Linked DNA regions of Struthio camelus. The protein of the gene in region 2 purifies or fractionates together with the protein of the main gene of each other region. This does not show direct contact. Links are inferred from orthologs where the notes say so. Each region holds a gene or a part of one and is shown on either strand. Other genes may lie near its edges.

Evidence for each region.
Region 1: the proteins of SNX9 (region 2) and SYNJ1 purify together in Homo sapiens (co-immunoprecipitation; 3 studies listed by BioGRID and IntAct, counting the BioPlex papers as one, with this or other methods). This does not show direct contact. The link is inferred for Struthio camelus from reciprocal best matches to the Homo sapiens genes SNX9 and SYNJ1.
Region 3: the proteins of SNX9 (region 2) and DNM3 purify together in Homo sapiens (co-immunoprecipitation; 3 studies listed by BioGRID and IntAct, counting the BioPlex papers as one, with this or other methods). This does not show direct contact. The link is inferred for Struthio camelus from reciprocal best matches to the Homo sapiens genes SNX9 and DNM3.

The regions. Positions count from the first base shown.
Region 1 is NC_090942.1:120,015,313-120,019,057, reverse strand, and holds the start of SYNJ1 (synaptojanin-1), read left to right. Parts: upstream 1-1,062; 5' UTR 1,063-1,180; intron 1,181-2,322; 5' UTR 2,323-2,394; coding exon 2,395-2,551; intron 2,552-3,745. UniProt on the Homo sapiens protein: Phosphatase that acts on various phosphoinositides, including phosphatidylinositol 4-phosphate, phosphatidylinositol (4,5)-bisphosphate and phosphatidylinositol (3,4,5)-trisphosphate. Has a role in clathrin-mediated endocytosis.
Region 2 is NC_090944.1:77,914,874-77,918,618, forward strand, and holds the start of SNX9 (sorting nexin-9), read right to left. Parts: upstream 2,349-3,745; 5' UTR 2,175-2,348; coding exon 2,163-2,174; intron 1-2,162. UniProt on the Homo sapiens protein: Involved in endocytosis and intracellular vesicle trafficking, both during interphase and at the end of mitosis. Required for efficient progress through mitosis and cytokinesis. Required for normal formation of the cleavage furrow at the end of mitosis.
Region 3 is NC_090949.1:8,700,605-8,704,349, reverse strand, and holds the start of DNM3 (dynamin-3), read right to left. Parts: upstream 2,421-3,745; 5' UTR 2,346-2,420; coding exon 2,200-2,345; intron 1-2,199. UniProt on the Homo sapiens protein: Microtubule-associated force-producing protein involved in producing microtubule bundles and able to bind and hydrolyze GTP. Most probably involved in vesicular trafficking processes, in particular endocytosis.

The DNA.
Region 1 (3,745 bases), on a different chromosome or scaffold from region 2:
GAGTATCCCCACTTCTCTTGATTTTAGCATAGCTCTCAAGCCTGCTGTCATCTGCTCAGCAGCTTGTAACGTATCAACACAATATAGTGAAGCAGTACTCCTCCACTAAAAGGCTGCAGCGGCTGGATGGAAATTTCCAAAGAGATGTTTAACGTCTGTACCTAAAACTTTTGAAGCTTGTCAGAAAAATGCAGGCTTTAGCCATGGTTCAGTGTTCCTACCCTACCAACAGTGCTCGGAGAGCACTGGCACTGACACTTCTGTGCCCATGGCACATTTTGTGCAGGGAGGTTTTTCTGTTTGTGTCACTACTCATGAGCCTATCTGAAACATTTTTCTCTCTGCTGCATCTCTAATAAACACACAACAGAGTCTGGGGACTGATCGTGTTTCAAAGCAGCCTCACTATGACCCCACTGCATGCTCCGTTTTCAACTTTCATGTTGGCAATCCAGCATTGGCTTATGACCATGCAAAAGAAGAATTTCTCCGGAGGGCTCTCTAGTTCCTTTTTCCTAAGGAACTAGGTTTCTTCAGGCTGAACCACCACACTAGGCAGGGCTTGCCCGGCTGGCGCTGTGCTTGGTAATGCTCTGCACAGGTTTAGCCCGCCCCTGCTTTAGAGGGCACAGGGCCTTCGCAACGGATGTCACTCACAAGGACGCAGGTCTGACACAGGCTCCCTCCAGCTCCATACCGCTGCTCCCACCGTGGCGCCTCAAGCAGCAGCTCCCCGTGCTGGCAGGCCCGAGGCTGGGGGGTGCGAGGTGACACAGGAAAACACCGCAGTGACAACGGCCGCGCCCGGACCCGCTAGGCAACGAGGTAAGGACCGAGCAGCCAGCACCCCTCACCCTAACCTGCAGCCCGCCGGCGGCGGCTCCCTCACCGGCCAGCCCGGGCGCCTCAGCAAACCTTTCTTCCCCACACCTGCCTGCCTGCCTGCCCCGACGGCTGCCGCAACGGCCGCCGCGGCGGCGCTGCAACGGCCGCCCGCGAGGCTCGCGCCCCCCCGGCCCCGCCCCTCTCCACGCCCTCTGCCGCCTTCCGGCCGCGGGAGGCGCAGTGCGGAAGGGACGCGGCGGGGCCGGAGCGGAAGTGAGGTGCCGCCGGCTCCCCCGGCGCGGAGCGGAGCGGGCGGCCACAGCGGCGGCGGCAGCAGCAGCAGGTGGCGCGGCCGGTGAGGGGGGCGCGGACGGCAGCGCCGGGACGGGGGTGGCGGGGGAGGGGGCCGCGCCCGTGAGCCAACCGCGGAGCCGGCCCGGCTGCCGCCGCTGCGGAGCTGGGGCCGCCGGGGCGCCGGCGGCGGCAGACAAGATGGAGGCGGCTCTGTCAGCGCCGCGGGGGCCGGGGAGGGGCTGCGCGCACGGTGCCCGGCTCCGCTGGGACGATGGGGGGGGGCGGCGGCGGCTGGTGTCCTCGTCCCTGCTGCCCGCCAAGGGAAGGGCGGCGGGGCCCCGGGGCGGGGGAGGATGGAGAGGGGTCAGCAGCTTGTTCCGTGTTGGAGGCGCAAAGTCCGTGTGGCCGTCCGGCGCAGAGGTTACCGGCGCTGAGCTCAAGGGAAGGAACAGGGCAGGAAACGCGCTCCCGGCTTCCAGCAGAAGCCTCCCTTCGTCATCTCTTTGCTCAGCTTAAGCCCTTAAAATTTGGCTCCTTGTGTGTTTCCTTAGTAGCCTAAGCCCTTAAAAATCTGCCCCGTCCCTCTGTTCTTTATGGTTTCTTCTTTTTCCCTTTTTATTTTAGAGGAAGCTCTTACCTTTATGGCTTTTAGGCAGTTTCACTAGTACAATACTGCAATGTCTCATTCATTGGCCGCTGCAGGGGAGGGTTTCAAGCCAAACAAAACCCTGCTTTCATTAAAACAACACCAGCAGGCTAACGTTTCTGTTTGATCTTTTAAAACCTCTTAACAGCTTTCCCAATTAAACTTCGCTGTCCTTTTGTACAAGGTCAGCATCAGTAAAGTTGTTGCAAAATTTGAAGCCTGCCCAGGCTTCTGGTCCCCTTCGTTCAACATTTAGCATATGAGTAAGACAGTTGTTCTGTGTTTGTGGAGACTAGAGGAGAATCGTGTTTTCTGTTCTTCTAATAAATCATGTTTGTTAAATATCATGAAAGAAATTCAAGTTGTCTCAGAGAAGCTTTTAAATAAACCTTCTGGAGTTTATTTATATGTCGATAATCACGTTCTTGAAACATGGTTATGTTGTCTTTAATTATTCCTTATATACCCTTGGAATATGAGATTAAAAAAAAAAAGCCTCATGAGGTAAAAAGAATGAGCGTGACACCTTTTTTATGTTAAACCCATACATTTCTTAGGAAAGGATGGAAGTCAGACCTGCTTTGCAGAAGGTATCCGGAAGCACAAGAAGCTTTCACTAACATCATCTTATGTTGGACAGGACTGCCTCTGATAAAGGCAAAATGGCTTTCAGTAAAGGATACCGTGTCTATCACAAGCTGGATCCACCTCCATTCAGTGTGATAGTGGAAACCAGAAACAGAGAAGAATGTCTCATGTTTGAATCTGGAGCGGTGGCTGTACTCTGTAAGTTGATATGTTTTGATAGCTACAATGTAAAAAGTTGGCTGACTTGATATTTTGTAAGCTATGTGTTTTTTATGTATGGATTATAAACAAGGAACAGCTATTCTGTTTTCTTACTTGCTAATGGTGAGGCTTCTGCTTTAAATGAAATGACAATTTCTTCTCATCTGTTGAGAGAGAATTTTGCACTTTAAATTAGATTTCAACATGAACATTTTTTTCATGTATGCTAAATTTTCTTGTAATAAGTTACAACAACATCTGTTTGTGCCTTTGGTTCAGAACAACTTTATCTGAATACGTGATAGCTCGGTGAAAAGTGAATTCTATATGTTGTACCTCATAATAAAAAGTTCTATGTTCTTAAATGGTATATCATCATAATTTTTATCTCATTTTATGTGATGACATTTTGATGGCTTTTTGATTTTTAGCTTTATTTTGCCCAGTATTTTTTCCCATCATCAGACTTGTTGTATATTAGTTCATCCTGTAATGAAATGAGTATATATTTGGAGCAAGGTGTTCTGCATTGCCAAGTCATTTTTACGTGTTTTCAGTGATAACTGCTTTAAATATTTCTAATAAATTCTTTGGCTTTAAAATTTTTTTTAAATCAGATTTGTAGGAGGACACTAAAATGAGAAGTGCGGAAGAGAACTGTCAAATAGTTAAGGTCTTACAATGTAGTTTGGTTTATATTTTTCAGTAAGGAAAAACTTGATTGCAAAGGGGTTTCCAGGCTTGCATTTGCCTTTTATAGAAGGCTGAGGTACCGTGGATGGGTTTTTTTTTTTTTTTGGAATCAATAACTTTTTTGATGAAAATCAATTGTGATGCCTGTTCATGATTTTCTAGCCTAGCATGCTCAGAAAATGAGAGGCTTGATTCACTGCCTGAAATCTGAGGAGCTCAAAGACACACCTCTCAGGAAGGTGCTCTGGCCTTGAGACTATGGAGTGGGCCGAATGGGGAATGCAATCTTAACAAGGTCTAGCGCTATGCTGCAAAAAAAAAAAAAAAACAAAAAAAAACTAGGGTTCATTAGGCTGAAGGTAGAAAAGTCCCATGGTTAAGTATATGCCTGAGAAAGGTAAATCTCAGGGTTTAATTCCCACCCAATGACTGGATAAAACAGGAACATTTATTAGTGCATGTAAATGTAACAGTTCTGACAGCAGGGATTGATCATAG
Region 2 (3,745 bases):
AAGAAATACTAATAGCCTGCACAGTACAGGCAGACCTGATTGCCAGATATCTCTGCCAGGTGTGTAGGTTCAAATGCCACTGAAGTTTGAGAAATTCACAGTCCAAGAGACTAATCATAGTTTAGCCTTGTTAATGTTCTATGTGCAACTCCAACATACTGTGTATTTCTTATAGAACTAAACTATTTTGGAAGGAGAGGAAGTAGAAGGTGGGAAGTTTGTTTACAATTAAAAAAAAATAAATCTTATTTTTCGAGTGAAATAGTAACTGGTTAGTTGGCCGAGTTCCTAAACACTGTTTATTGTCAGTCACTCCCTTGCACTGTTGAGGGGAGGAAAAATTTTTTTTTTTTTTTTTTTTTTTTTTTTTACAGCTGACATTATAAAAAGTTTAACCAATTAAAATCCAGAATAGGATAATTAGCAGAGAGTGACATACCTTATGGGTCAAGCTTACAGAAAATAAGGTCAGCTTCTGCTCTGTTATCAGTATATCAAAATAAAAAAGTCTTTGCTAACTATCATTTCCTTACATCAGCCTTCAAGTTAAAGTAAATTACCATAACTTGCAAAGTGTAGAATAAAAAAAAAACCCAAATACTTGCATCTTCCTCACCTAATTTCAATAAAGTACTGCTAGCAAGTCAGAACTCACATACCCATCATTCTGAGGCCACGACTCCAAAAGTTTATTTCAAGAAAAATCAAAGTGCAAGTTTCCAAATGTATGAATAAAATGACTTCATTAATTAGGCACAGAATAAGCAGTCCCGCACGTCCTCAAGATTAGATGATAAACAGTATCATATTCCAAATGCTTAGCAGATAATATGCATTACTTCTATATATGTGCATAATAGTATGCAATTGAACTTTTCTTACTACCTGCCATAGCTACATGTGTTTACATGTTATTCATACACACACCCCACAACTCTGTGGAAACAGCCAATATTAACACTGAGTCCGTTAACAATATTCTAAAACCTGAGCACACAGGAACACAGAGTTCACTATACTAATACTTCTTGAAGTGTCTAAATGATTTTGAAGCCTAAACCACTTTCTTCTGTGCTTCTAAAAAAAATGTTACTAGAGCATGAATAACCATCTGCTTCAATGGTTACTGAGACTGCTACATATATATGAGGTTCAATATATTTAAGATACGGATTTCCCAAATACTGAGAAATACAGTATGAATAAATGATGTCGTGCCCGAGAACAGTTTTTATTAAAGGAAGTTTTTTAAACTACAGGCCAAGTTTATTGAATCAGGCGAATCTGAAAGCACTACTTCAAATACCAGAAAGCTTTCTGCAATATTTAGACAACTTACAGATGACATTTGTTTGTGGATGTTAACTCACACCTACACAAAGCAGAGGCAAGCCAGTTTTACCACTTTCATCCACTAATATAGTAAATAAATATTGCTAATTTAGAAAGAGATCAGTTTCGGATAGGATGTACTAATTTTGATAGCTACATTAACAACAGACACTGTTGAAGAACAGAGCAAAACAATTTCACTTCCTGCAATTTTTTTTTTAATGGACCCTATTATTAACAAGTCGCAAACTACAGACTTGAGACTCCCACTGGGGGAAAGAAAAAAAAAAAACACCCACCCACAGCACGCCCCTGTGCCTGATGACCACCGAGCAGGTTTTTTATCAGCCGCTCGGAAACACCACTTACGGCCTCCCCTTCGGTAACCTTATTTTGTCGGGCAGGTACGCGACAACACCGCAGGGGGGGCGGGTTACACATCTCTCCCTCCGCCCCGCAGTGCGAGGCCGCCAGGGCCAGGGCCAGGCCGGCCCCGCACCTCGCCCCTTCCCAGGCCGCCGCCGGCCTCGCCGCCCCGCCGAGGGACGGGGGGCAGCGGGCGGAAACGCAGCCGAAGGCAACTTTTCCCCCTTGGCCGGAGTTGGCGCTGCCCCGGCGGCCGAGGCCCGGGCGGGGAAGCGGGACCTCCGCCAGCCCCCGCGGCGAGGGCACTGCCCCCCCACCCCACCCCCCGCTCCTTCCCTCCCTCCGGGCCCCGAAACGCGGCCGTGGCCCACACGGTGCCTCCCGCCGCCCCCACAGGGGGTCACCGCCCGCCGAGCCCCCTCCGCGGGGCCTGCTCGGCGCAGGGGGCGCCGCCGGCTGCTCACCTTGGTGGCCATGGCGCTGCCGGTGCGGTGCGATCCGGGCCCGGCCCGGCCGCCGCTCCGCTCTCTCCTCCCCTCCCCTCCCCTCCCCGCCGCGGTTGCTCGCTCGCTGTGTCCGGCCCGCCCGCCCGCTGGGCCGCGCAGGCAGCTCCTCCTCAGCGTCCCCCCCCGTCGTCGTCGTCACCGCCACCACCGTCACCGCCGCCGCCTGGGGGCCGTTGGGCGGCTCAGCAGGCAGCGCCGGCTGCTGGGCAGGCGGCGGCTAATGTATCGGCGCGGCGGTGCCCCCTCCCCGCAGCCCCCTGCCGCCCTGCCCCCGCCGCGCCCGGCTCCCGCTGGCACCGCCCGGCCGCCGCTCCTCCGCGGCCTCCTCGCCAGGGCCCGAGCCAGGCGGGGAGGGAGGAAGGGACGGACGCACCCGCGGGTAGCGGGCCCCGCAGCGTTTTCTCTTTCTAGTCAGCGTTTGCCTTCCAATTCCCGCCTCGAGTAGCGGGCCGACCCGCTCCCCCGCCCCCCGGCGCGGCGGGGGTGGCGGTTTAACGCCCGCCTGTGCGGCAGCCTGCTGCCTCAGGGCGTTGTTAGCCCCGGCGTCCGCTGTCAGATGCCGCTTCAGACGCTGAAAATCCACCCGCCTTTCGCTGTCTGGGCGGAGGAGGGTCAACAGAAAGTCGTCGTCCCTCGGTCGCTTTTGAACGCCGGTTTCAGAACAACTGTGTATCAAATAAAGAATAATTTTTCCTCGGCCAAGCTCCCTCGGCGGCTGTCGGAGATGCGCTTCATCCGCGGCCTCCTGCGGCAGCTGGGCCTTGCTGCCTGATGGTTATTAAGAGTAGAAAATAACATCAAGAAACTGCTCAGGATCCGTGCGGGTCCCATGAGACGCTCCGCCAACATGTGGCAAGAAATAGCTGTGGTCCCACTCGATTTATTCCTCCTGATGGGAGGCTAAGGGGGGGGGAAGCCAGCGGCAGCGCTCAGAGGAGGTACGTGCAGCACCGCCTGCGACTACGCTGTCTTGTGGGTATGTATCCGCGCGGTGTTTGATTTGGATCGGTGGATGTTTAACTTCTGCAAAAAGAAAGAAAGAGCGTAATTGTTAAGACCACCAAAGAGATCCCTAAAAGGCAGGTGTGCCGTTGAGACGTAGCGTAACTCTTGTATAGCCATGTTTCCTTGTCCACAGAAACGACAAACCTCTCTCCTGCTCTTGCTGTACTTTCCCACTGAGGCCACTTTATCAAAAGCGAAAAACAGATCCACACTTTTTTTTAAGTTGGAAAAAAGGTTTTGTTTTAAGTAGGATGAGTGAAATACTTTCTGTGGAGACTGAGGATGAGGAATTAACATGAATCCGGCGGTTTAGGAGCCACTACTTTTCACACGGTTGAACTGATTAATTCGAGAAGTTTTGGAACCCCATTATTTCAGTTTTTAACTTTTTCAGAATTCAGTTAAATACGTGCGACAGTTCCAATTTTTTATTCTCTGTAACAGCAATATCTGAAGTGAAACTTGCAGGTGACCCGCGAATGGCCTTCTATGATAGTGCATTTAATCTGAGGTATTCTGTTAAGGATCTGTTTTGC
Region 3 (3,745 bases), on a different chromosome or scaffold from region 2:
GGGCGGGGGGGAAGGAAGGTGCAACCTGTCCCTACAATGAGACATGCTACCTGTATTGGCCATATTAAGAAGGACATGTACGTAATAAACTTCTTGTTTTCAGAAAGCAACTTCATTATCAAAGGTGTCACCTGAATACCTGTAAAAACAGGAACGTCTTACAGCATAGGAAGAAGAGCTGCAGACTGCTTTGCCTGCTGATCTGACGACCAAAATGCCCTCCCCATCTCATGGATATTTGCTCATCTGGTTCACAATCAACTTCTCACAGCTTAGCAAGTAACCACTCATCTGCTGACCACACATACTCACTTTGCCTGGAGTAAAGCCATGAGTAAAATATATTTGCTTGAATTTCATGGAAATGGATTTAAAGTAATGCATTTTAATCTCTTATTTGTAAGAGGCTCCAAACTGGCAAATAGGAAAGTACCATTGATATTGTATCTCAACAAGTTACTCCACGGAACAATCACGTATCCATATTCCAGCTCCTGCATCACAAAAACACTGTAGTACCTCACACTAGCGTGTAAATCTTCAGGGAAGGGACTCTCTTGTAGTATCTGTGAGGTGCAGAGTAAATAACCATGTAAGTGAAAAAAATAATTGCCCCTAGCATTCCTTCATAATTCTTGCTAGAAGTCTGTCTCCCTTGTGCAGCAGGCCCTAGCCCACTTTTGTCCAAACGAGTCGGGTTAGCTAGTGTAGACTTCCCATTTATACCTTTTGCTCTAGCCTGGCTCACCTCGGGGGAGACGAGAGGGGGCCGCACTCAAAGCAACAGCTCCACCTGCGGATCAGATGGAGCAGAACCCTCTAGCAGCGGAGCAACAAGCATCTGGGAGCACTAACCCCTTCCAGCAGCACAGCTGCATCCAGACAAAGACATCCGTCCACAGCCTTCCACCCTCAGACCCGGTCCCAGACGGGTGCTGCCCCAGACAAGTCTCCGAGGCAGAGACCGCATATCTATTTCACCAGAGGCGTGAAGATTGCCTTTCCCCAGCACATAGGTTTTGCAGAGCTTTGCGGACAGATAGATCAAGATCTCAAAGGTGACAAAAATACATTGTAAAGACTTGTTTAAAGAAAAGTCTAACAACGTGATGGCCAATAGTGATTTCTGAGGACTTCATTCGTGCTTTCTAAACTCCAGAGACTCACAATATTGTCAACATCAGTAATTAGCTATAGCCTTCACACAGAGGGAAGAGGAAGAACTGAAATTTAACACAGTGAGAGTAAAATCTGAAACGGAGATATAGAAACAACAACTATATGAATATTTTTTATACTGTGTATCAAGAGGTATTGCACTTTGACGTATGCGCTTAATCTTATTTTTAGAGATAAAGCACTTTATCTTATTTTTAATGAAGACGCCGGCACGTGGAAGTTCACAAATCACTGACAGAATAGTACTTCTGACCCCATATACAGACCAACGATTGTGGCTATGCTCTGAAAACACAGTCTCTAAGAGCCTGCAAACAACAATTCATAGCAAATACGGCAGAACTTCATGAAGCGACACTTAAGTTCATGTTTATCTCAAGAGATCTTCAGAGATCTACAGTCAAGAGATCTACAGTCAATCCATTGACTGGACCAGCTGAATCTTCAGGCTTTCTCTCTCCTTTTAGGGCAATTGTAAAGAAAGATGCTATGCCCGTGCGTGCATAAAACGGAATACATGAATCGTAAGCATTAACAACATTAAGCAACCATTAAGCCTTAACCAACAAAACCCAGAACCCCCGCCACGGTTAGGTTCGGTTTGTTTTTTGTTTTTTGGTTTTTTTTTAAAAACAGCTTTTCCCAGATTAACCGCCCCACTATACACAGGAAGCGGCTCACGGGAAAGTTGCGCTGGCTTTCCCGCAGCACGGCCATCAGCATCCTCCCCCAAGGACGCCGCAGCGCCGTGCCCGCCCCCCCCAACCCCCCCGCCGCGGGGAGCGGCTGTCACCGAGCATCCCCGGTCCGGGCGGAGCCGGGAACCCCCCTCACCCCGCGCAGCTCCAGCCCCCGCGCCGCCGCCGCCCGGGCTCAGGGCGGTTGGGGGGAGGGGGGGGGCAGCGCCGCCGGGGGCGCGCGCTGAGGGGACCGTTAGGGCGGCCGGCAGCCGTTGGGGGGAGGGGGGGTAGCCGTTGGGGGAGGCGGGGGCGTCCCGATACCCGCCGCCCTCCGCCTCACCTGGAGACGCAGTTCTCCAGCACCGAGCTCTTGCCCGCGCTCTGCCCGCCCACCACCGCAATCTGCGGCAGGTCCAGCAGGCAGTTCTGGCCCAGCGCCGCGAAGGCGTCCTGCAGCCGGTTGACGAGCGGGATGAGCCCCTCCATCCCGCCGCCGCCGCCGCCGTCCCCGCCGCCGCAGCTGACAGGTAACGGCCGGCGCACTGCGCATGCGCCGCACCCGCAGCCCGGAGGCGGGGCCTCTGCCGGCCGCCGCCACGCCCCTCCACCCGGCCACGCCCCCCACCCGGCGCGGCCACGCCCCCCCCCGCGCGGCGCGGGCCCGGGCCCGGGCGGCAGCGCGCAGCAGAGGCAGCGCCGCGGCCCCCGGGGGGGCGGACACCGGCCAAGGGCACCCCCCCCCCCCACCGGTGGGGACACGGGGACGAGCAGACAGAGCCTCGGGGGGGATCACTCACCGGCTTAGGGGACGTGCCGTTTCCCGCCGGAGACCGTTTGCACCCAGGGAAAGAGCTGCCGTCAGTTTAATTAGAAACGCATAGCGGGAGCAAGCAGAAAGGAGAGGCAAAGAGCGGAGACGAGACGTGTCCGTGATTACCGGCCGCAGTCACGGCACAAAAACACCCAGAGCAGAGGCTCTGCAGAGGCTGCCCTCTGCGTCACGGCGAACGGCGGCCGCCAGCCGTCGGGGGGATCAGGCGATCCCGTCGGGGGGATCAGGCGATCCCGTCGCGCAGACCGGTGGCGGCGGCGGGGGCGAACGCAGCAGCCCCGCGGCGCGCTTAGCGGGGCGCTCCGGCTCTCACCGCCTCGCTGGGACACACCACGTTGTCATCATTTCTAGCTACGTGGAGCCTGGGGGTTATTGACATAATTATGCCAATTAGCAGCACAATTTCCCCCCTTCCACACTCCTGACTGAGCTGGCTGTGCCAGGAGGTGTTAGAGTAGCTTTTTGGCTGCTTTCCGACTAATGGGTTTCTACTGAGGCTGGGATTGAGGGATCACAGCGTTGCACTCTGGCAAAATCCTCGTCACACTGTCTGAGCAGAGGAGCCCTTCGTACTGCCCTCGCTGAAACAATTAAGATCAGTAAAAGGGCAGCCTGGCTGTAGGGCCGCATCTACACCAGAGACGAGCGTGAACGCTTAAAAAAAAAAAAAAAAAAGGCAGGAACCCTTGGGAGCGATGCTATGCGCACCTTGCAATTAATAACCCCAGGAGCAGTCCTCTCCGTTAGGTTTTTAAACTACATCTTTGCTTCCACGATTTTTTTTTTAAGTTCTTGGGTTTTTTTTTTTTAAAGAAAATATCTACTATTAGTAAAAGATTAAGTTATTCCTCCAAACCTGTGCAATTTCCAAACCAAACATTTTTTCTGTCCAAGCTGAGCTAAGGCTGCTAAGTGGCCACACTCACCCAACTGCTGCATCACTTAAGAAAAGCTGCTCTCCCAAAAGCAAGGCCAAGAACAGCCAGGGCATAACTTTCCCACCTCCTAGGAAAGATGGGAATATTTTTATTAGGCATGCACATGTTATTAGAAA